6 linked regions of the Nothobranchius furzeri genome follow. The main gene of each other region encodes a partner of the protein of the gene in region 4 in a complex. Links are inferred from orthologs where the notes say so. Each region holds a gene or a part of one and is shown on either strand. Other genes may lie near its edges. The genes, in order: cdk8, med4, med20, mediator of RNA polymerase II transcription subunit 13-like, med25 and med24.

The links.
Region 1: the proteins of mediator of RNA polymerase II transcription subunit 13-like (region 4) and cdk8 are in contact, whole or in part, in a cryo-EM structure (PDB 8TQC), measured with the Homo sapiens proteins. The link is inferred for Nothobranchius furzeri from reciprocal best matches to the Homo sapiens genes MED13 and CDK8. Residues at the interface, in NP_005112.2 of Homo sapiens: Thr1616, Met1617, Asp1618, Arg1619, Lys1621, Val1622, Gly1623, Ile1624, Pro1625, Thr1626, Asp1627, Gly1628, Asp1629, Ser1630, Val1732, Lys1733, Thr1734, Leu1735, Thr1736, Gly1737, Phe1738; in NP_001251.1 of Homo sapiens: Leu9, Glu12, Arg13, Arg71, Lys74, His75, Pro76, Leu81, Gln82, Lys83, Val84, Tyr133, Asp137, His140, Tyr141, Met330, Gln331, Phe335, Leu336, Leu340, Pro341, Thr342, Ser343, Asp344.
Region 2: mediator of RNA polymerase II transcription subunit 13-like (region 4) and med4 share a complex: the UniProt entries of both Homo sapiens proteins name them as parts of the mediator complex. The link is inferred for Nothobranchius furzeri from reciprocal best matches to the Homo sapiens genes MED13 and MED4.
Region 3: mediator of RNA polymerase II transcription subunit 13-like (region 4) and med20 share a complex: the UniProt entries of both Homo sapiens proteins name them as parts of the mediator complex. The link is inferred for Nothobranchius furzeri from reciprocal best matches to the Homo sapiens genes MED13 and MED20.
Region 5: mediator of RNA polymerase II transcription subunit 13-like (region 4) and med25 share a complex: the UniProt entries of both Homo sapiens proteins name them as parts of the mediator complex. The link is inferred for Nothobranchius furzeri from reciprocal best matches to the Homo sapiens genes MED13 and MED25.
Region 6: mediator of RNA polymerase II transcription subunit 13-like (region 4) and med24 share a complex: the UniProt entries of both Homo sapiens proteins name them as parts of the mediator complex. The link is inferred for Nothobranchius furzeri from reciprocal best matches to the Homo sapiens genes MED13 and MED24.

What each region holds. Positions count from the first base shown.
Region 1 is NC_091747.1:51,014,490-51,017,780, reverse strand, and holds the end of cdk8 (cyclin-dependent kinase 8), read right to left. Parts: coding exon 3,163-3,291; intron 3,075-3,162; coding exon 2,931-3,074; intron 2,444-2,930; coding exon 2,374-2,443; intron 2,254-2,373; coding exon 2,181-2,253; intron 2,089-2,180; coding exon 1,991-2,088; intron 1,895-1,990; coding exon 1,816-1,894; intron 1,153-1,815; coding exon 994-1,152; intron 846-993; coding exon 720-845; 3' UTR 501-719; downstream 1-500.
Region 2 is NC_091754.1:35,365,939-35,370,160, reverse strand, and holds the start of med4 (mediator of RNA polymerase II transcription subunit 4), read right to left. Parts: upstream 2,801-4,222; 5' UTR 2,734-2,800; coding exon 2,660-2,733; intron 2,412-2,659; coding exon 2,345-2,411; intron 1-2,344. UniProt on the Homo sapiens protein: Component of the Mediator complex, a coactivator involved in the regulated transcription of nearly all RNA polymerase II-dependent genes.
Region 3 is NC_091743.1:46,651,293-46,655,524, forward strand, and holds med20 (mediator of RNA polymerase II transcription subunit 20), read left to right. Parts: upstream 1-1,432; 5' UTR 1,433-1,524; coding exon 1,525-1,538; intron 1,539-1,950; coding exon 1,951-2,096; intron 2,097-3,291; coding exon 3,292-3,545; intron 3,546-3,628; coding exon 3,629-3,850; 3' UTR 3,851-4,039; downstream 4,040-4,232. Other genes in the region: bysl (bystin), read right to left, coding at 178-316, 432-588, 891-1,164. UniProt on the Homo sapiens protein: Component of the Mediator complex, a coactivator involved in the regulated transcription of nearly all RNA polymerase II-dependent genes.
Region 4 is NC_091753.1:50,252,393-50,256,539, forward strand, and holds the start of mediator of RNA polymerase II transcription subunit 13-like, read right to left. Parts: upstream 2,801-4,147; 5' UTR 2,571-2,800; coding exon 2,505-2,570; intron 771-2,504; coding exon 536-770; intron 1-535. Other genes in the region: c18h3orf33 (protein C3orf33 homolog), read left to right, coding at 3,808-3,951. UniProt on the Homo sapiens protein: Component of the Mediator complex, a coactivator involved in the regulated transcription of nearly all RNA polymerase II-dependent genes.
Region 5 is NC_091745.1:8,280,534-8,284,033, forward strand, and holds part of med25 (mediator of RNA polymerase II transcription subunit 25), read right to left. Parts: intron 2,608-3,500; coding exon 2,487-2,607; intron 2,352-2,486; coding exon 2,195-2,351; intron 1,111-2,194; coding exon 986-1,110; intron 845-985; coding exon 769-844; intron 1-768. UniProt on the Homo sapiens protein: Component of the Mediator complex, a coactivator involved in the regulated transcription of nearly all RNA polymerase II-dependent genes.
Region 6 is NC_091756.1:31,514,767-31,516,945, reverse strand, and holds the end of med24 (mediator of RNA polymerase II transcription subunit 24), read left to right. Parts: intron 1-50; coding exon 51-131; intron 132-595; coding exon of another isoform or gene 596-618; exon of another isoform or gene 619-810; intron 811-869; coding exon 870-1,018; intron 1,019-1,423; coding exon 1,424-1,540; 3' UTR 1,541-1,679; downstream 1,680-2,179. UniProt on the Homo sapiens protein: Component of the Mediator complex, a coactivator involved in the regulated transcription of nearly all RNA polymerase II-dependent genes.

The sequences.
Region 1 (3,291 bases), on a different chromosome or scaffold from region 4:
ACTTGTTTCATGTAAAATATTTAAATGCAATACAGTACAATGCATGTTCCATCTGCCATCCTCCATACGATTAGTTGGTTTTGTCGTCATGTTGTAAGGCTTACTCACAGTACACAGCAACTCACACACTCTGCTGTGTTACGCTTGTCATGAAAACAAAATCATGACAATAGATTAAATTAGAAACTACTAAAATCCTTACTCTGTCCTTTCTGAACAAAAAAAGCCTCCATCCCACAGCTGTGAGATCAAAAATCTCCCAGCCTGCTTTGCCGCAGTTCAGTCCTCAGCGGAGGCCCCTTACACACAAAAAAACAAAACAAATAGGAGGACTGAGAATCTGTTAACGTGGGCAGTCACGTAGCAGCTTTCGTCTCATCCAAGTTTTGACGGGACGAGGGGAACTGAAGCAGAGGAAAGGAGATGGCTCGTCTGTATTTTGCCTGATTAATGGAATATTTTATTTTTATCCTCTTGATCTGCCTTTCACCCATGAGGATTTGCTTTACGCTGTACTGGGATTGTGTTGTCTGACACTGGTGGAGTTGTTTTGTCTCTCTGAACTACCAGATCACAGCAGAGTGCCTTCAGAAGGTAGGGTGTGGGGTGTTGCACCATCCCCACATCCTTCAGTACATTCGTTCAGGCGGTCACAGAAATGGCTGTGTGAGTGTGTGTTCAGATTAGAAATGTGTGTGTTTATTTGTGGGAGGGGTGTTTCAGTAGCGGTGGGACTGGTGGGAGTACTGGGGTGGTTGTTGGGAGGTAGAGGAGTATCCCATGCTGCTTTGGGGCAGTGATGTGCTTGGTCCAGGATTCTGGTAGGCAGCATGTGGATTAGAGCGCTGCATGAACAACAACAACAACAAAAAAAGCTTTGTCAGTAAAAACTTCAAATTTCTTCTGTTTTCATCAGCAATTAGTTTCTTTATTTAGCATTTAGGACACAAGCTGTTCTGTTTGTGTGTCCAGATGAGCAGCAGAAAAGCTCACCTGGTAGTCTGAGGTCATAATGAGGCCACCTGAGGTAGTGGTGGGAGGGACAACCCGCACCTTCTTTGCAGGTGGGCCCTGGGTGTGGCTATTTTCTGGGTTGCCAGTGTGCCCCGCCCCGTTTGTGTGGTTGTTTCCCTGTTGCTGCTGCTGGTTCTTCTAAAACACCCAACAACAAAACAATCTAAACAATACTGTACATGTACTACAACATTTTAGTTTCTCATTTTTGCTTTGACAGGGGTGCTCCAAGGGGTGGCCAGGGATGGGGGGCCATGGCCACACCCTGGTAAATTGGTGGCCACCCCACTGCCCCCCACCAGGGAAGACCACCCCCCCACCTTCCCTAATAAATCACAATCATGTTCACACAAATTGTACATTCATCTTTTTTTAATTAGGACATACATTTTTACACTAACAAATAAATGTATTCTACTAAAAAAAAATTATCACAGCTTATATACTACGTATCCCATTGAGGCTCACTATATTTTTTCAAAAATATGTTCAAAAAGGTTTTGTTCAAACGACAACAGGCAAATTTTAAACTTAAAATTATAAAACAGCAAAATTTAAAACAAAAGCGGAAAAAAACTATGAACCTCTTAAATGTTTGTGTTCCTCAACTCTGAGGTAAATATGACGGACGCATAGGCCTTTAGTTCTAAATGAAAGATAACAAAGAAGCAATCGACAGCCACAGGGACCAATTTGGTGCCACCCCAAATTTATACTGCCCGCCCATGAGGATTATCTACGTACACCACTGCTTTTTGATTCAAATGCATTCATAAAATAAGTTTGTAAAGTAAATTTTACTTTGTCTCCTTTGTCCTCTGGCTCCTCCTCTGTCAAGAACTCTCTCTTGGGGTAGGGAATCTGACAACCTGCAAACACACTAGAAGAATGCAAAAACACCTCATCAACCTGTTCAGGAGTCTCCTCCGGCACGTTAGCCGCGCTAAAAGCCAGAACTAAATCTGCTGCAGCTCACTCAGACGTGGGAAGAGGCTCTTCTAAAAAGTACGGGTCCTGCATTGCCTGCTCCGATGTGATTCTACGGATGGGGTCCATGGTCAATAGTTTTTGCAGCTGCAATCAATAACGTGATTTTAATGTCAAACAAAAAGCCGTACCAGATATATCAGGCAGAGAAAGACTAAATCAAAAGCGCTTCAACTCACCAAGTGGAATGCTTTACTGTCTGGTTTAACTTTATGTTTTTCCATGTACTTTATAAGGCTGCAGTTTGTGTATCTGTATAAAAACAGGAGCAAACTATGAAGTGTGTGTAATTTTTGTGTATTAAGATATACTTTGCTTTGTTTTGATCTTAAAACAAATAAAAAACAGGACACAAGTGGTCTGCAGACTCACGTGTTCCTTCTGAAATCTTTCATCAGTGTGGAGTGCTCTGGCATCTTTTTGATGTCTTCCCAGTCTTTATCTGTTAGACCAAGGCAACAAAGGGTTAGGACGAAGGATCATTTATCTTTAAAGAAATTAAAAAATTATTTTTCCACAGCAACTTACAATTAAACAACATTTCTTTCATTTTTACACCAATTAGCTTTGGTTTTGTACTTAAACTCTGCAAATTTGCCCAAAATTTCTGCAGAAACCAAAGTGATCCTTCTAACTGACTGGTGAATTAAATAAATAGAGCGGCAGAGACGAGAAAAGAAAAAAGGAAAAGTGAAGCAGATTTTGTGAACTGGAAAGTATCGGTCCAAATGTAGGCCTGCAAGCAACCATCTCTAGGTTTGTGACTTGTATAAAGTCTGTGGTTTGATGTCCGGCGTCTACAGACCACATTAATACATTCAAAAACAGAGCAAGTAAAGACCGAGAAAATAATGCGTTTCATCACATTTCCTTCCAGAACATCGTAGCTGGAAAAATCTTGTGTAACACCAACACATTAACAGTCTCACCAGCAGGGAAGCCCATAACATTAAAGATTCGGTCCAGCTGGTCGTGGTGGTATGGGTTGCTGGTCTTGATGTCCTCCTGACGACAATGGAATATGGGCTCAGACGTTAGCAGCTCTGCAAAAATACAGCCAATCGCCCAGATGTCTGGGAGAAACGCACAGCACGTGCTGACATAAGTCAAAGCCACACCAATAAAAAACACGTGCAGAGCAGAAGTGGAAAAGGGTTTCACCGATGGCTTTGGTGTAGTGCCGAGCCCCCAGCAGCAGCTCAGGTGCTCTGTACCAGAACGTGACCACGACGGGGTCGAGATCAGCTAAAGGCTTCAGTGGTGAATTGAAGAGACGAGCAAACCCCATAT
Region 2 (4,222 bases), on a different chromosome or scaffold from region 4:
CTGGTGCTTGTCAGGTGTGATGAGGCCGGAGATGATAAAAGGGTGGCAGATCTACCAAGGTGTGTGTGTGTATGGTCGACCTGTCATTGTGACACCCGGTTCTGGGGGGTGGGATCGTTCGCAGTTGGTTAGGACTGCCGGCGATGAAGACAGCTGAGTAGGTGGGCAGTGTTCCAGTGCTAGGACGGGAGGCTTGACGCCTTCTTTAGGTAGCGAGGGCTGGGAGTATTTGGGTGCCGAGACCACGCCGACATCTGCCACAGCAAACTCTGGCAGCCGGACCCGAGCCATGGACTCACCTGCCGTCCACGCAAGCTGAACCCCGGGGCGTTGGACGGTGTTGGAAGCTCAGACCCCGGGGAGGGGGTCGCATCGACTGGGCCAGCTAAGTACCTGATTGTTTGATTTTACTTATGCTGAACAGCTGGTTTTGTCTTAAAGGGACAAGAGGCAGTAGCCGACGAGTTCCACAGCGGAACTCGCCCGTGGTGTTTTATTATTCAGTTGTGCTAATAACGGGTATTTTTGATCATTTCTGCCTACTGGTGTTGTTTTAGGTTCTGACTGGAGGGTAAGACTTTCTGCCAGCGCACCCACTGAAACTTATATTAAAATACTTTACATAGAAGTAGGGTTGTCATGGTAACCGGTGTAGCAGTGAACTCTGGGGAAAAAAGTTGACAATAATAATAACCGCCTTGTTTTTAAAAAAACTATATTATCTCGGTGATTACAGTGGCTGCGGTGACCCTTACCAGCCACCGTATCATCTGCTGAAGTTGCCGGCGGCACATGCGCGCTTTGTTGTTTACAACCAAAACTTTCTTGAAGCTAAAGCTGAAATAATGGCCAAAGGAGGAGACGGCAGCGCTCAGGACATTTATTATCCCTCAAAGAAGACAAAGGGGGAAGTACGGGCATCTTTTGGATATTTGAAGAATGCCGAGGGAGTTGATAGAAGACGACTATCCTGTTTGCAGCACGTGCAGAAAAAGTGTCTGTGAAAGGCAGCAACGCTTCAAATCTCATGACACATCTGCGTGACCATCACCCACAACTCTACAGTCAACGCAAGGCAAGCTAACGTTAGCGTTTTAGCTAAAATGTGTGATCCGAGGATTTGGGTTGAGGGAGAATGCAACGAGTCGCTATATAAAGCAGCCGCAGCGCCGCTACCTGCATATAAACCGTGTCGACGCGGACACCCCCATGTTGAAATGACGCTATGCATTACGGGGCTCCCAGGGACAGATAAGAGTTGGTCTCTCTCCGAGAATAATTATGAATTTAACAATGATTACTGCTTGATGACATTTTCCCACATCTGCAAAGCTCACTGGAAGGACACAAACTGAGGACAATATTTTCCTGATATAGGGTTTATTACTCAAGTAAGGGTAAAAAATATCTGATTAGAAGGCTACTTGAGTGCTGAGTATCATCTGATCTAATATTTTTTAAATAATGACATCAAACAGACAACAAATAAGAAGTTATGGGCAAATATTGATACTTTAAAGACTAAAGAGGAAAAATGTAAACAAATAAACAACATAATTACACAATAACACATTTTAGACAAAATTTAGACACAAACTGAGGACAATATTTCCTGACATACAGGGTTTATTTAGTTGTCTGAAAATGTAGCACGTTTAAAAAAATACCGCGATAATACCGAAAACCGTGATAATTTTGGTCACAATAACCGTGAGGTTAAATTTTCACACCGTGACAACCCTACATAGGAGTGGTGTATGATGAACTATTTATGATCAGATCAAACAGGACATAAATGCTATGGAACCGGTTTTGTTCCAATTTTCAACATAATATGTTGCCATAGCACCACAGAGATGGAATTAAAGAAAATTAAATATTCCCCGAAATACGGGAAACATTCAGGATTGAGCACGTAAACTGAGCTTAGGCTCTGCCCGTGTTCTAATCAACACAGAAATGTATCTGTAACTGCTGGACTCTGATATTTAAAGAGCAAGTATCGTCTAAATTAACTTTTTTTTTGCTGACTTTTTTTTTTGCTGATGAACTGTATAAATGAGTGTCTAATAGTGTTTTAAATGTGTGTATTCATTATTTTAGCATTTTGGTGCATTTTCTTTAAAACTTAAAAATTCTGCCTAAATACCACAGTATAGCGCCACCTTCAGCTTAAAACATAGAGTTTGAGACATTTTGAATACACTTTAGCCAATGGCTGAAGAGAAAGATACTACGTAAACCAGTAGAGTACTACGTAGCAGCTCTGTGTCAAAGTTATAAAGCATCGAGAGTGTAATCCAACAGCCTTGGATCTGACTCCAGACCTGCTCCTGACCGTTACCTGCGTGTCGTCTCCGGGCTGAGGTAGCTTCTGAGATCTGGACAGAGCCAACATCTCGATCAACTCCCTGAAAATACACAGACAGACAGACAGACACACACACACACATAAAGAGAAGGGTTATATGTTGCCCGTTATAATAAAGGTTGCAAAAGACCCAGAAACACTGAACCATCTTTTACTTTCAGAGTAATCACCAGGAACTCTAGATCGGAACCGATGCCAACAGCTGAATAACGTGATCGATAATAAAATGACATCAGCTTAAAATATTAAATAAATAAACAAGAACGTTCTAATTATTTTTAATTTTACCGTGATAAAACCTCCAAGTCGTCCAACACAGACAAAAGTCTTTCTTTCGTTGATTTCTCCGCCACGGCCGCCATTTTCGGATCGCGCGGTCGGACCGGATGTTACGTCTCGTTCCGTTTCCTGTTGTGAAATTAGAGCCAGAGTTGCGACACTGCGGCCACGTGGTTCAGGGAGCTCTCAATAGTTCCAAACATCCCAGCGCCGTACGTCAGTTTGAACGGTGTACGGTGGGCAAATCACAAAAACTGAATATAGTCACATTGCCCCTGGTGATTTTAGGTAATTATTGAATATGGCCTGTATTTGATATACAGTATTATATAATAATATAATAATATATAATATTATATATATTATATTATATACTGCGATGGACTGGCTCTCTGTCCAGGGTGTCCACCGCCTGATTGCCTATTGCCCCCCCCCCCCCCCCCCCCCCCCCCCGGACAAAGTGGGTTCGGACAATGGTTGGATGGATTATATATTATGTCCTAATTCCTTCACAAAGGAGCCTATTTATATTTTTCCAAGCATTTGTAGGAAGACCGACACCCTTGACTGTTCTACGTTACAGGAATACAACAGTCCTAACACATTTAGACCACATACATTACTGTAATATGTTATAGAAATAAATTTGATGTAGTGTACACACTGCTCTACTAAAAGCATATTTAATAACTTTAAGTCCTACAAGAAGCCCTAAACTCGAGTTGTAATATCCATTTTAAAGTGGTTTATTGAAAGCTAGAATTCTGCTCCAGCTTACCTTGAAGAAATATGTAGCTGTTTATGTTTTGAATGATGATCTATTATGTTCAGTAGAATACATTTTACAGTCATTACTTTATATTTTTATGTGAAGACAGTACATGCATCCATGGATGTAATTTTCACTTGAGAAGTGGGGGGGGGGGGACACGGGGGGGGGGATCTTTACAGTATGCTGTAATGGGAAACAGGTTTCAACACAAACGGCTGTTTTCCGCTTGGTGTTAGAGCTCAACCAGTGTCAATTTAATATAGCGTAATATTGTTTTTGGATGGTAAAAAGTACAGGGGTCAAAACTTGATTTTGGAAAAAGTGGGGGGAACATGTCAGGGACATGTCCCCCCATTCCCCTCCCAAAATCACGTCCATGCATGCATCTATAACCCAGTTTATCTGGCTACTATAGCTACTAATTAAAAAGAAAAGTTCAATAAAACTGTATGGTCAAACACAGTAGATAATAGTGTGTTAATTGTGAAAAAATGAACACCAAATTTGTACAACATGTATAATAGCAGTTTTAATAAAGCATTTTACCAACATTATGTTTAGTCATTACAAATGCGCAAATAAGCTGAATCATTAATTATGAGCAATTTACTCAAGACCTAATGAAACTATTTTGAATAACTTTATTTTGATTATTATTGAAGGGACTTTACAGAGTTTTGAATTTTTATGCTCGCGATTGCCCCCTCAGGCCAAAAGCATAATGTCAGCTTCAATAGTAGGCTCATGCACGAGGCGCGCATGCTGTACGTGTGCACTCCTTAACAAAAATAACAGCTGAG
Region 3 (4,232 bases), on a different chromosome or scaffold from region 4:
GGCAATAGCCGGAAATTATAGCTTAGATTTGGTCAAAGTGGCCTTAAAAAGGTCTTAAAAAGTCTTAAATTTGGCACCCTTAAACCTGCAGATACCCTGGGAAAAGAACAAAGTAGGTGAGATCATTTTTAACAGGAGAACACATTTCAACATAACACAAACAACTGTATAACTTACCTTACCGACACCCCGGTAGACCTCGGTCACCCTAGGGTCCAGCTGGGGCATTGGAACCCCTGATACCTCAGACATCACTGTTCCCACCTCGGTTTGCTTCTCTGTGATCTTCTCCATGATAATATCAGCTAAGGTCCGCCTGTGATGGTCACAAAGAGGAAAACAGCTGAGTATACGAACATAAACTTAACCTCAAAGTGGACTTTAGCAAATTCCAACAGCTAGAATTCAAACAAAGTTGTGAGAAATCTTGCCTCATTGGAGGGTTTTTATTCATGAACATCTCAATGGCCTTCTCATCATCAGAATCAACGATGACTTCAGTATCACCCTCCACATCACCATCCCCAGCACCTGCTTCTCCCAGAACTGGCCAATCTTCATCTGAGTCAGCATCCTGGGACTCAGGGCCTAAAATAAACAGGTCAGACAACATTAGAAAATATTATTCATGCATTCAGCAAAGACTTATTTCACCTAAATAGTTCTGAGAAGATCACGCTGGGAACTATTTTTCTCTGTGATCGTCTGACATTTTGTCCACATAAAAAACATTCGTCATTAGTTTTATTTTTGCAGAGAAATAAAGGGATGTTGCATAAGTAACACCGTATAACTAATTACAAAAACACTTTCGTGGTTTCTACGCTTGATAAACCAGACTTAATTAAAAAAAATACTGCCAATTTAAGGTCCGAAACCCTCCATCATACCGAGAACAGTGACTGGTGCTTTCCTCTGCTCAGGTGCCAGGCCATACTCGGTCTGCAACTCCTCTTGTTGAATCCGGGCCTGTTGTAAGATTTTCCTTGACAGACGTTCATCCACGTAGGTGTCCTCACTTTCGACCCGGGCGTCTCGATTCTTCACCCGGCCTCGGGCTCGGATCGTGTCCGCCTGGAGGATCTGGTCGGCCAGTGGCACCGCTCCTCCTCCGCCACTCTTCTCTCCTCCACCGCCACCTTTAGCTCTTTTCACTTTCGGCATCTTTCAAGAGTGACTCAAGCTGCGACGACGCTGTCCGTGTTTTGTTTTACCATTAGAGACACAAACAACGCGGAGAAAGAATTCTGTAAACAGTCTGTATTCTACACGTGCAGATTACCGTACGGCGGAAGTGACGATATACGTAACGTCTGTGCACTGAAAAACATATATATAACATACCATTTTATATGATGTTGATTTTATATGTTTGTATGTAACATACATTTATGCAATATGATTATAAAGTTTCTTGAGTTTGTTTTTTAATTTTCTGAAACAAGGTCGTTTACGTGCACCGGAAGTGTAAATGTTAATCCGGAAGTAATTGCTTCACGAGTGTTTTTTGCAGGCGAGAAATCAATGGGTGTTACTTGGTAAGCAGATTTACTTATGTTGTAGTTAAATGCTAACTGTAATAATATTTTTGTAATATATTTTATCACGCTGTGCATATGATTTCGTTTGGCATGTGTAGCTAACTCGGTGAATGTAGCCTTTATTTGCTTCCAAACCGTTTTACACTGAATAGAATAGTGTTTATTGTCGTTGTACGGTGTACAGCGAAATTAGAGTGCCACTCTCTTTAGTGCAAAATGGAAAACTATACAAAAAATAATACAGAAATAATATAAATGTAAAATGAACAGTAATATATATATTAGTTGGGTTCAGTAAGCAGAATTTTAGCATATTGAGTAAACAGAAATAGGACATTCAAATGTTATTGCACATGATCAATTTTGAACAGGTTGCTTCACGGTGTTGTGTTGTTCTTGTGCTGTGCAGTGTTTGCCAGGTGCCCGTGGCGGAGGGGAAGAGTGTCCAACAGACAGTGGACATTCTGCATAAGAAGCTGGAGCAGCTTGGAGCTGTGAAGCAGGGCAACTTCTGTGTAGACTGTGAAACATATCAATCAACAGTAAACGCTGGCGGTAATTTTCAGCTATTAACCATATAAATATTATCATTCCTGTTGTTTAGGTGCTTTAGATGGATAGTCTTCTGCATTGCTATTAATACAACTTGCTGCAGGGGAATTTGTCATATTTCTTTGATTAAATTCTGCTTTTTGAAAATGTTCTAATAATTATGTCAAATATTTGACTTAAACTCAATTGTCCAGGATATGTGTGCCTTGTGACAAATATATTGTCAAGCTATGTAATTTTCATTTTTACTGATCTTATTTCTCTGTAAGGTTAACAAAAACAGTCATCCATTGGGTAAAAATAGCCAGATTAAAATACAGTTGGTGTGTTTTAGAAAGGTTTTCTGTAAATCTTCATTACTATGTTATGCAAGGTTAAATGAGCCACGTTTCCACTGTATCTTTCCCCAGAAGTCAGGAACATTTAAAAAGCCCCATCCACTGCAAGAATCCGCTTAAATTTGTTTAAATGGGACAGCAGTAGCTCAGGAGGTAGAGCGGGTTGTCCAGAAGGTTGCAGGTTCGATCCCGGCTCAGACCAAAGAATTCTGCTGTTGTGTCCTTGGGCAAGACACTTAACCTGCCTTGCCTGCTGGTGGTTGTCAGAGGGGCCGATGGCACCAGTGCTCAGCAGCCTCGCCTTTGTCAGTGCGCCTCAGGGCATCTGTAGTGACATCATAGCTCATTCCCACCAGCGTGTGAATGTGTGTGTGTGAGTGACTGTGTTGTGAAGTGCTTTGGGGGGATGTAGAACCCTGTGAAGGTGCTATACAAACACAGGCCATTTACATTAAGCTCCTTGAAAAATAGTTTTTATTTTTATGTTTTATAAACATCCGCAACCCGGGGTCTATAAACGTTTGATTTGGCATTTATCTTTCTAAGTTACTACTAGTCTTTTTTTTCCAGGTTTCCACCAATGAGTCCATTAGCAGAGCAGTAAATCATGATCTAATTTAGCTCAAGTGTCCTCCAGAAAAAAAGGTGTCTGCTCTCGCATCCCTCATAAGCAACATTTATATAAACAGGACATGGTATGATTCTACTACTTACTTGTGTAATTTTAAACTTAATAAGCATGCTGCTCTAATCTGTGTCCAAAAATAAAAAAATCATGCAAAGTCATTATGCAAAAATTGCATTGTTACATTTTGCTGTTCTTCATGCAATTTCTCACTTTAAGTCTGGGTTTGTTACAGGTCAGCCCTCCAAGCTCCTTTATGTAATGCACAACTCTGAATTTCCCCTGAGCTGCTTGGCTCTGTTTGAAGGAGGACCCTGTTTGGTAGCGGACACAAACTTTGACGTCCTCATGGTGAAGCTGAAGACCCATTTCCAGAATGCCAAGGGACACAAGGTGGAGTGTCGCGGTTCGAGATATCGCTACTGTGACTTCTTGATTAAAGTTGGCACGGTCACAATGAGTTCCAGTGTTCGAGGGATATCAGTGGAGGTGACAGTTTGGTATTATCAGTTAGACCAGAGGCCCATTGTTCTCTTTTTTGACAGGATTAACCCTTGATGTGTTTTCCTCAGGTGGAGTACTGTCCCTGTGTGGTTCCAGGGGACTGCTGGAACCTCATGAAGGAGTTCATGCTGTCTTTTCTTGGCAACAATGTTCCTGAGCTTCCCACTGTATTTGCTGCCAAGCCTGAGGGTCTTTTTGCACCAGCAGACTCTGTCGACACCATGACTCAGTACCTGGAGTTGTTCAACAAGCTACGGAAGTTACAAATCACAGGAAGCAATGTGCACTAATAACATTTTTTAATGATTGTATTGATGTGTGTTAAATGTGGTCCTATGGAAACCGTATGATTTGTATAGTTCTATTTTTGTAACTTCAGTTTTGTATTTGTTTACCCTGATACAGTTAAAAGGAATACAGCTACAATCTATAGATGCAAATGCTCAACACAGACAAAAATAAAGACAAAAATCTACCTATTTCTGCAAGAAGTAAAAATTCCTTACACTCGGTGGGGAAATGTTGGTGTCACAGCAGCAATCATTCACATCAGGAGCAAAGAAGAACAAAATCCTGTAACATATGCAAGAAATTCTTAAAACATTCAATCGAATAAAAAAAATCTGTGCAGATAGACGAAGTTTATAATGAGGAGTGATGGCATGAAAGGAG
Region 4 (4,147 bases):
TAAATTTCTGCTGTTGGAGATTTTCAGACTAGAATCACCACAAGTGAGACGTTTCTGGGTTATTTACGGCAGAAATTAGCTGCAGAACTAGCTACTATAGAACTTTTGTTTGCAATTCTTGGTTATATCCGTCAGAATAATCATGAACTCTAAAAACAATGTAAAATGCTGCATAATCTAAGATTTTTTTGGGACTTTAAAAAATCTTTGTGACTGACCTAATTTGAACTAGCTGTTAGCTCCTCTGTCAGATCAGGACTAATCTACATTGCTCCAAACTAAAGCTGCTTGTTTTCTCTTTATTTTATGCATATAAAAGAGAAAATGTAATCAAAATTACAGTTTGACCATAATTCTAAAAAAAGAACAAACTAACCAATCTTAATTTATTTCTGTGATCATACCACCCACCCCTCAAGTAAACGTCACAATATTTCCATTTGGATCAATGAACATCAAAGTTGGTGAGAGTTAAACGGGATATTGTGCGAATCTCAAACCCGGCAGAAAACATGCAAATGATGCATTCACTTACTCGAAAGCTCATTGTGGATAAGCTCTGCAAAACTGGGGTCATCCCCCCACCAGAAAAGCCAAAGCTCCCTGCGACCCGGGGTGTGGTGCCTTCTCCACACACTTAGCACATCTGCTGCCAGGCATCGGCTGAAGCTACACAAGATCGGGTCCTCCTCGGTCACCGGGAAGAGGATGGGCGAAGAGGTGGGACCTTGCCACACAAAACGTCGCCATTTTATTCCAGTCAAATCAGCCTAAAGGGAAGAAAATATAAAAAAACAAAGTGTGAATAAAAATTTAAAACACAAAGGCAAATCCATGGCTATGCGTATGTGTTTTAGAAAGCTGAAGGCTGCTTTTTCTGTCTTATAGTAAAGCACTTTACATAATAAAGATAATAACAAGAGGATGGTTGACATTGTTGCACGCGGTGTATAGTTACGGACTGGGCCAACTTGTGACTGCCTAGTTGTATTATGAATAAACTTAGCAAGGCTCACAAAGTGCTGCACAACACTGCAATGCAAGGTGGCATCACTGGAAGTGACATGAGGTTCAACTTGTCCACAAACGTGTCAACAGATGAAGAGGAAAAGGCCTGAGCTGCAGGTGTCTTTCATCTGAGACACGTCTGACCCTCAGCACTTGTATTAGCATCAATGCACGGGGGGTTTCTATCAACAAATTAAAAATGAAGCTTTATGTGGTGGATGAACCAACTTATTTGTCCCTCTTTTCCATACAATCAACATGTTAAAAAAACTTGAAAAACATTTACATTTAGATATTTAAGCTTTTGTTTTTTAGAAAATAGAATGCACAAACATACCTGATGCAAAAATTAATAACAGAGAAGAACTTCAAAAGCTGATTAATTGAAGTATTTTACACAGTAACTGATCAAACTTTCTATTTCAAGATCATTTCAGAGCAAAGCCACCTTCTAGGAAAAAAACATTCTGTGTTTTCATTCATTTTGTTCTAAAACATGTAGACAACACTGAATGTTTCACTGCAAAAAAAAAGTAAGCATAAACTTGTAAACACATTTCATTTTAAGTTGCCAAGGCAGCTGACTTCATTCCAGACTTTTCCAGAGGTTAATTTCCAGACTGCAGCTGATTCTAGAACATTTCCTGAATTTTACTGTAAATATCCACTAAATAATTGTGAAATAGGCTAGTTAATGTGCACCTGGTATTCTGACAGTTATTTTAACACGTTTCTATAAAGGTCAAATGATCCAACTAACAAACAGAATAACACTCAGCATGGAAAACTCAAGATATAACCATGGAAAACCAACAGATGTCCATCCCACTAGTAATATAGATGTTATTATATTACACGTTAATTTTACGTGCATTTCATGATTAGTCAATAAATAATATCATGATCGCTAAGGTTTGTCTTCATTTTTCATGTTAAATAACTCCATAACTTAGCTACATTGTTTTGAAAAGCTTGTATGTTCACTTCTTTAGAATCTGATTTTTACATTTTTGAGTAATAAAATAGTAGGAAACGAAAGTCTGGTAACGCAAATGCGTTCCACACACTGCTCTTATTTCCATACATGTAACGGAAAATACAAAATAAAAACAATTTTATACTTTTTCAGACTGCAAAGAAAACCCTGTTATTCTGTTTATAGATCATTTAAAAACATATCCAACACAATTTAGAACAATCGGCTGTGTTTCAAACAATTCCCAACCCGTTATAAACATGTTGCTAACACTGATTATCCCTCTTCAACTGCAGTGTAAACATGGGCCAAAAGCACAATCGCAAACACGTCATTTTTTATAAAGTAGCCAAACAACATGTGTTTTGTGTGTTATTAAAACAAGCAGGATGACAATTTGAGACTTGAAGGCCCGATGCCTTCTCGCCAATCTGAAACTGACGTTACAAAGCTTGTTGCCTTCTGAGCCAAAATGGCTTTCTGGCCTTTCAGCAACACAACTAGCGCTAGCTAGGCTTACCAGGCAGAAGATGTTGGAGTGGCAATCCTCCAAACTGGCTCCGTTTGGTACAAAGCACGAACTCATCCTTTCACTGCGCGGTGGTAACGTTCAAGTCCATTGTCTCAACCACCTTTGGGGCAATAGCTGATAGGTGTAACTCGCAAGCGAAGCGACGTTCACTTGTAATTAAGTCAGCCAACTTCTAACCGGCGCTAGCTACTAGCCTGGCGGCTAAGCTAACATTAGACAGACAGCCAGATAGCGTCAACTGTAGGCTTCTAGCTAGTCGATTCATCAATCCTATTTGAAATGTATTGTCTGATCTGGTTAGCCGCAGAGCTGCGGCCACATCACATAAATATCAAACAATTAACGTTAACCTAACCAGAACAGACTAAAGTTAAAACAAACCCCAGAAATTTGAAAGAACGAGCTCGGAAACTAAAAAAACTTCATCACAAAAGCTTGGTCCCTGGTGTGCTAATGCTAACGTCAGCTAGCTGATCTGAAACAATTTCAAAGCAGAGGAACTCTCCCCTCCCCCTGATCTCAGCTAGCCTGCCAGCTAAATAAAACAATCAGCTACACCGCCCTCATTCCTTCTAAAACCTCAACGGAGCTCCGTCATGATAAAACTGTTCGTCAAACAGAATAAATGCCAAATCTCCGACACTACTCATCGGCTAATCGTCTCTGCCTGGATCCATGGGTGTCCTGCAGATTTCCATTATTTCACTACATGGATTGAATTCTTTAATGGCGGCCAGGAGGACAACTCTGCCTCTCAGCTCCCATTGGCCAATTTGTGTTGATGGGGGCGTTATCCGGCTTCAAGAAGCTCCATGACTTCACAGTTTACAAGATGAGAGCCTCAGTGCATCTGTCATACAGTGGTAACTCTTTACTTAACATGTCTCACTCTGCTGCCAGTGCTAGACGTTACCATTTTTATATAATATGTCAAGTTTATAAGGCGGCAATTTAGCTTTTGCACTTTTAAAACAAAGATATCAGCACTCTAATGTGTAATTGGGGATTAATGTGCAGATGTTAAATAATCTGTGGGCAATCTGAGTGGTTGCTGCTAGCACTAGCATCCTTAGCAAGTTAGCTAACTAGCCGAGCTTTTAACGTTCACAAACCTTTACGTTTTAAACCAAAGTCGACTGCACATGATGTTCTTTGGTTTTTTTTTTTTATGTAAACTTGATGCTGCTTTCGCTTCTACGTTGAGGGGCGGAGCTTCTGCTTACAGTCCCGTTTTAAACGTCCCTCCCCCAAAAAGGCGGAGCGTCAGACTAGTCGAGAAAATGTCAACAACATGCCGGAGCCCACCCGAGAAACAGAAACAGAGGAGGTTGTGAGTGACAGGCGACGGAGACGGGAAGAAAACCAGAACCAGCCGTCACGTAACGTCGTGTCCGTAGTTTCTCAATTCGCAGACGAGAATTTGTCGCTCGTGCGGGTAGGAGCCTCTTTTGTCTAGGATCGATGACGTATGTGGTCTCACGAGCTGAAACCTGCACATGTGGGGACATGTCTTTTAAGCTGCTCTTTTGCAACACACGATGTCTGGTGAATCACCACACCGGCCAGATATCCCATCGCCAGCTGTCAACAGTAGCCTTTAGTGCGCTTGTGTTACTGTCATTGCTGGGTGG
Region 5 (3,500 bases), on a different chromosome or scaffold from region 4:
CTTTTCAGGTGTTTTCTATTTGTAATTATAAATTTTTGTTGATTTGGGTCTTGTTTCATATCACACAGTGACATTTGATTAATTTAAATGCATTTTTTATTTAAAAGCTTTAGTTTACAGTAATAACCATGTCTAATGTTTGATTCTCTGTCTCATAATTTTAATTAAGTTTTACTTTGAGAGCACATTTTCCTGAACGATTAAAATGTGATTAATTGAGATTAATTAATTACAAAGCCTGTAATTAATTAGATTAAAAATTTTAATCAAGTCCCAGCCCTAATTTATATATATATATTTTTTAAACTCCACCAGTGTTAATTTTGACAAGAAATTTTAATTTAGTTTAAATCTTTTGACAAAAATAATTTTTAATTTTAGTCACAATTTAGTCATCCAGTTAGTTTTAGCTTTAGTCTTATTTTAGTCGACTAAAGTAAACGTATTTTTATTCTGATGCAATAATCTTCAACTTCATAGCAGCAGTAATCTGCTCCCGACAATCCTGGAGGCCTGAACAGAGACGATGGAGTTTACTCATTGGATCGCGCATGGGACTGCATCATCGGAGGGGGGAGAGCGGGCAGCAGAGGGCGACAACGTCCTCTGCTGCCCACGGATAAACGGAGTAGGAAGTGACGCCACCATCAGCGTCAGCTCTGAAGATGTTTGCAGCTGCAAACGAAACCGTCAGCAAGGTAAAGAGAAACCTTCTCTGTGTTTTAATAAAGAACCAAAAATGGAACTGGAGGCCAACTGTTAACTTACAGCGACTCTTCTGGTTGTTGGCTGCTTCGACGGCCCTCTGTGCAGCCACATGAGCAGGAGTCATGGAGGTCAAATTCTGCCAGGAAACAGATTGGAAAACCAGAGTCAGCGCTGGAGAGTGTTTTACAGAAGAAATGTGAAACCCTTTTCTGACAGCGAGCCAAAAGCAGGAGGCAAGCTTTAGTCCCCGGGGGCTTGGTAGCAGGGTGGCCCTTACCTGATAAGAGTGGGGCGTGTTAATGGGTGGAGGGGCCTGAGGAGGCCCAACAACAGGCTGGCTGACACTCAGCTGTTGAGGGGGGAGCACAGGCTTCAGCGGTCCAGGTCCTCCACCTGTGTTAGCTGTGACCACAGAAAAGCTCCATTTACAGGTGAGAAACATTAGTGTGCCAAATTCTGTTCAGCATTCAACACTCCAAATGGCTAAGATTAACCTCATAACCGCTATTTCCTTGTTTAGGAAAGCTGAACCTGCCAAAATAATTAATTTACAGCAGAACTGTGAAGCAGAAATTAAAGTGTGAAACTCAACAGCCAGTGTCTCACAGACACATTAGTGGTCTAAAGGAAGCTGTCCCAAATGGAGCCTAAAATAAAGACTCCTCTGAGAAATCAGCTGCAGCGAGATGAAAATTACAAACAATATAAGATTAAAAGAAATAGACATAAATAAGCAATAAACCAAGCTAAATATCTAAGTGAGTAACTTTCAATGTTTCTGGAGATGAGCCTTCAGCTCTCACTGTGTCATCTCCCAAAAATAAATCACCTCAGCTTGGAGCTACGTGTAACCTAACATCTCTACCTGCTTCATACTGTCCTCACACTGAGAATTAGGGATGGGTACCTTTGACATTTGAATCGATCCGGTACTAATTCCCGGTACCTACGAGTCGATACCGGTACTTAACGGTACCAATTTTCGATACTTTTGAGTGTTTATTATTTTAATTCTCTTTTATAATTAAATATATATTTTTCTCAATATATAACCATATTTGATAAATATCACGATAAATAACATACAAGTTTGTATTTTAACATCGTCCTTGTAGTTTTATAAGCTGATAGTTAAACTGAAGCAAACATCTTTACTGTGAACTAAATTTACTGTGTATCTTCATTCCTTTTGCCGTCCTTTTTCATTTGATTTTTCCTACTGGGAAGTTAGAATTTCCGAGGAGAAAGCGAACGCACCATTAGCTGATAACAATGGTGGCAATGGAAGCTAACATATCAGCATAACATTCTCAGTGAGAATATGCTCTAAAATACTAATTAATACATCATTTATTAACATTTTCTCCACAATAGTAAACACAAATAAAAGACCTGAAACAGCAGTTCAAAAACTAAATAGGACAATGTTCAACAGCAGAGCTCTACCTGCTGTAACGAACTCTGGATTTAAATGAGTGTTTCTCACGTGGAAGCGAGATGCCTCTGACCAGCACCATGTGGAACGGATCCTGGCTGTAGTCGGGGTGGGGTTCAACCGCCCCGCTCACTGGAGATGCCCGCTCAAACAAAGCTCTGAGAGCGGGCAGTTTCCGAGGAGCAACCACAGAGAAGTGAATTCCTCTCTACAATCAATCAAACACGGCCCGTTAAAGTGATTGTTTTTCTTTTTACTGACTCAACAGCAAACGTAAACAACTTAAAACCAACAAGCAGATTTAAGCAAAGCTAAGGTCGAAGAGTAACCGATGACGACTCACATCTCTGATGATTTTGACCAAGCTGTCTGCGGTGCAGCCAGTGTAGCTGACGCTCTCCACAGCAGGGAGCAGGTACGGGGGGGAGTTACACAGCAGCACACACACTTTGTGAGTCTGACCTCTGAAACAAACACACAGATCAGAGCTGAGATTCCCATCTATAGCAGGCTGAGACTACACTCAGATTTATTGTTAAAAATGGTTTTAAGAAAAATGCAGAGTCCAACTCATCACCTATTGGTTTAATCATTTTTCTGGAGTAACCTTTAAAGGAGTCGTTTATTCCTTGAACAAATACAGGTGCAGTGGTCTCTAGTAGGAAGAAAAGCCTTGTAAGTCGATCGGGGGTATCGGCGCACCATTTCTAGGAAGTAAAAGTTGCTGAGTTTCGAATGACAGGTGCTGGAGTCTTATTTCATGATATTGGACATCTCGCTCTAGATTAGAAAACAGCAACGCCACTTTACAAGTGACTTGCAACAAAGATGTTTCATCTCCGCAAATAACACAAGCCTGAAGGAGCTTCTGCTGTGTGGTGAAGTTGCTAATGCTAATGGTTAGCTTCAACTAGAGCTGGGCGATACGGCCTAAAATCAATATCGCGGTATATTGAGGAGTTCACCTCGATAACTATAAACGGACCACTAGATGGGGCTGTCACGCGTCTTACATTGAGTCATGTCGTCATGTGACTCGAGGTGGTACAGCTTCTTAAAGAGACATGAACATGGCCAACCCACACGCATCTTTTAATTTTCTTCTTTTATTATCAAATTTATTGACATGGGAAAAACTATATTGATTAGAGTCAGAAATTTAGATAACGATACATTTTCGCTATGTCGCCCAGTGACAGCGTCTACTAGCTGAGACGTTCTCTGCTGTTTCCTGGACGTTAAACCAATAACAGCATTCCCCATCGTGAGTCAAGATGGGTGAGTCCACGAGTGTTATGGGCTCGGCACACGAGAGGAGACATCACCTCTCCTCCATTCTTTTTCAATGAGACATGCC
Region 6 (2,179 bases), on a different chromosome or scaffold from region 4:
TTAGTGAATGAAATGAAAGCGTGTGATTTCATCAGCTGTTTCCTCTGTAGGAGATCGATCGATGAGCAGCTCCCTGTCTGCCTCCCAGCTTCACACGGTCAACATGAGGGACCCTCTCAACAGAGTCCTGGGTGAGACACGTCCCACAGCGCCGTCCTCCTCACCAGCTTCTGCTCATGACACTGTCATCAAATGTTCAGACTTAGAAACATATAAATCTTGAGGAGAATTAACCAGAGTTTGGTGCGATTTGTTGAAATAAAACAAAAGAAAAGGGTTTGATAGCTACACATCACACAGTAGCAACAACAGGTTTCTGCTTGTGGCCTTCATCAGGGTGTTTCAGGTTCAGAAAGCCTTACACTGGTGTCTGTGGGGGGTTGCCGTGGTCACCCTCATGAGCCACTGGCAGCAGTTTTTACATTTCTTGATCTTTTGACACTTTTTAGTTTATACATCAAAATGTACACATTGACACATTTAGGTTTTTTAAAGATAATAAATATAAATGAAAACTTTTAAGGTAACATTTGATCACATAGAAAGTTTATCTGCAGTGGTGATTTTAGAAAATAAAAGTGCCTATTTCTTCCAGGCAGCAGTAGCTCAACAGGTTGAGCGGGTTGTCCAGTAATCGGAAGGTTGCAGGTTCGATCCCGGCTCCGGACAGAGAATTCTGCTGTTGTGTCCTTGGGCAAGACACTTAACCCACCTTGGGGTGGTCGGAGGGACTGGTGGCGCCTCTGTCAGTGCGCCCCAGGGCAGCTGTGGCTACATTGTAGCCCATCAACATCAGTGTGTGAATGTGTGTGTGAATGATACACTGTAGTGTAAAGGGTGTGGTCTGCTCTCTCTCCCCTCCCCCTCAGCCAACCTGTTCCTCCTGGTTTCCTCCATCTTGGGCTCTAAGATGGCCGGACCTCACACCCAATTTGTGCAGAGTTTTCTGGAGGAATGTGTCGACTGCCTAGAGCAGGGAAGCCGTGGGAGCATCCTGCAGTTCATGCCTTTCACAATGGTGAGTTATGAGCAGGGTGAGGGAGATGACACAAAGGAGTGGCTGGAGGGAGGGAGAGAGGTTGCTGTTGCTTCACATTTTTCCTGGGCAGAGTTAGAATTTCCTGCGTTTACATGAACTGTGTGTTCCATCTCTAAAAACATCTGTGCTTGTGGTTTACAGCGAGCAATCTCTGCATGGGGATAGGTCAAAAGTTCATGGATGCTTCATGGTTAAGGAGTTGGGACAGGATTATAAATCAGAGCTTGGTCATGTGACTCATGTTATTAGACTGGTCAGGAAACAGGGAAGAAACCATTCCTCTTTATTCTGAGTTAAATGAGTCAGATACTTAAATAAAACAGAGCAAAGGTTCAGCAGCTGAGCAAAGGTCAAGAGTAATCACCTGTCCTTTTGTGTGTTTAGGTCTCTGAGCTGGTGAAGCTGCCCGCTTTGGCCAAACCCAGAATCATCCTGGCTATCACCGACCTGACTCTGCCTCTGGGGAGGAGAGTCGCTGCCAAAGCCATCTCTGCTCTGTAGAATATCACCCACGTTCTGTGTAGTTCTCTTTTAGGAGCACTTTTTATGGGTTTTTTTTTCACATAAAAACAATGTTTCAAGAAGACAATGTAAATACACTTAAGAATAAAAATGCAGATCTTTGTTCTGTTTGTCCGAAGCAAGCTTCCTTAGTTGTTTTCGTCAGATCAAATTGTTTATGCTTTTCCTGGAAGCGGCTGGGATCCCTGCTGACATCTGACCGTCGTGATCACATGCTCACAAGGCTTTCGCATGACACGGCGTACGATGGAGTCATCCTCTGAGCGACGCAGTGGGTCGTCTCCTGCTTGCAACACTTCCTGAAGGCAATGAGTGTCTGTCAGAGGGGAAGGAACACTGGCACCAAAGCCTCTGTTTCACTTTCAGTTGTGCTTTTTTTGTCATAAAATTAGTTTTGTTGGAATTTCTGGCCCAGACTCATTGATGAGGCAGACTGCGTCAGCCAGATTTGCCCCTAGTTGAGTCACTGCAGTGTCATCGTCAAAAAGGAACACTCTTTAAAAGAAAGCCTTTTTATTAGGAACTCAGAAAATACACATTATTATTATTATTGATCCTTTTTTCTGCAAAAATAAATATCTAGCATCCATCCTCTGAAATAAATATATAAATAGATTT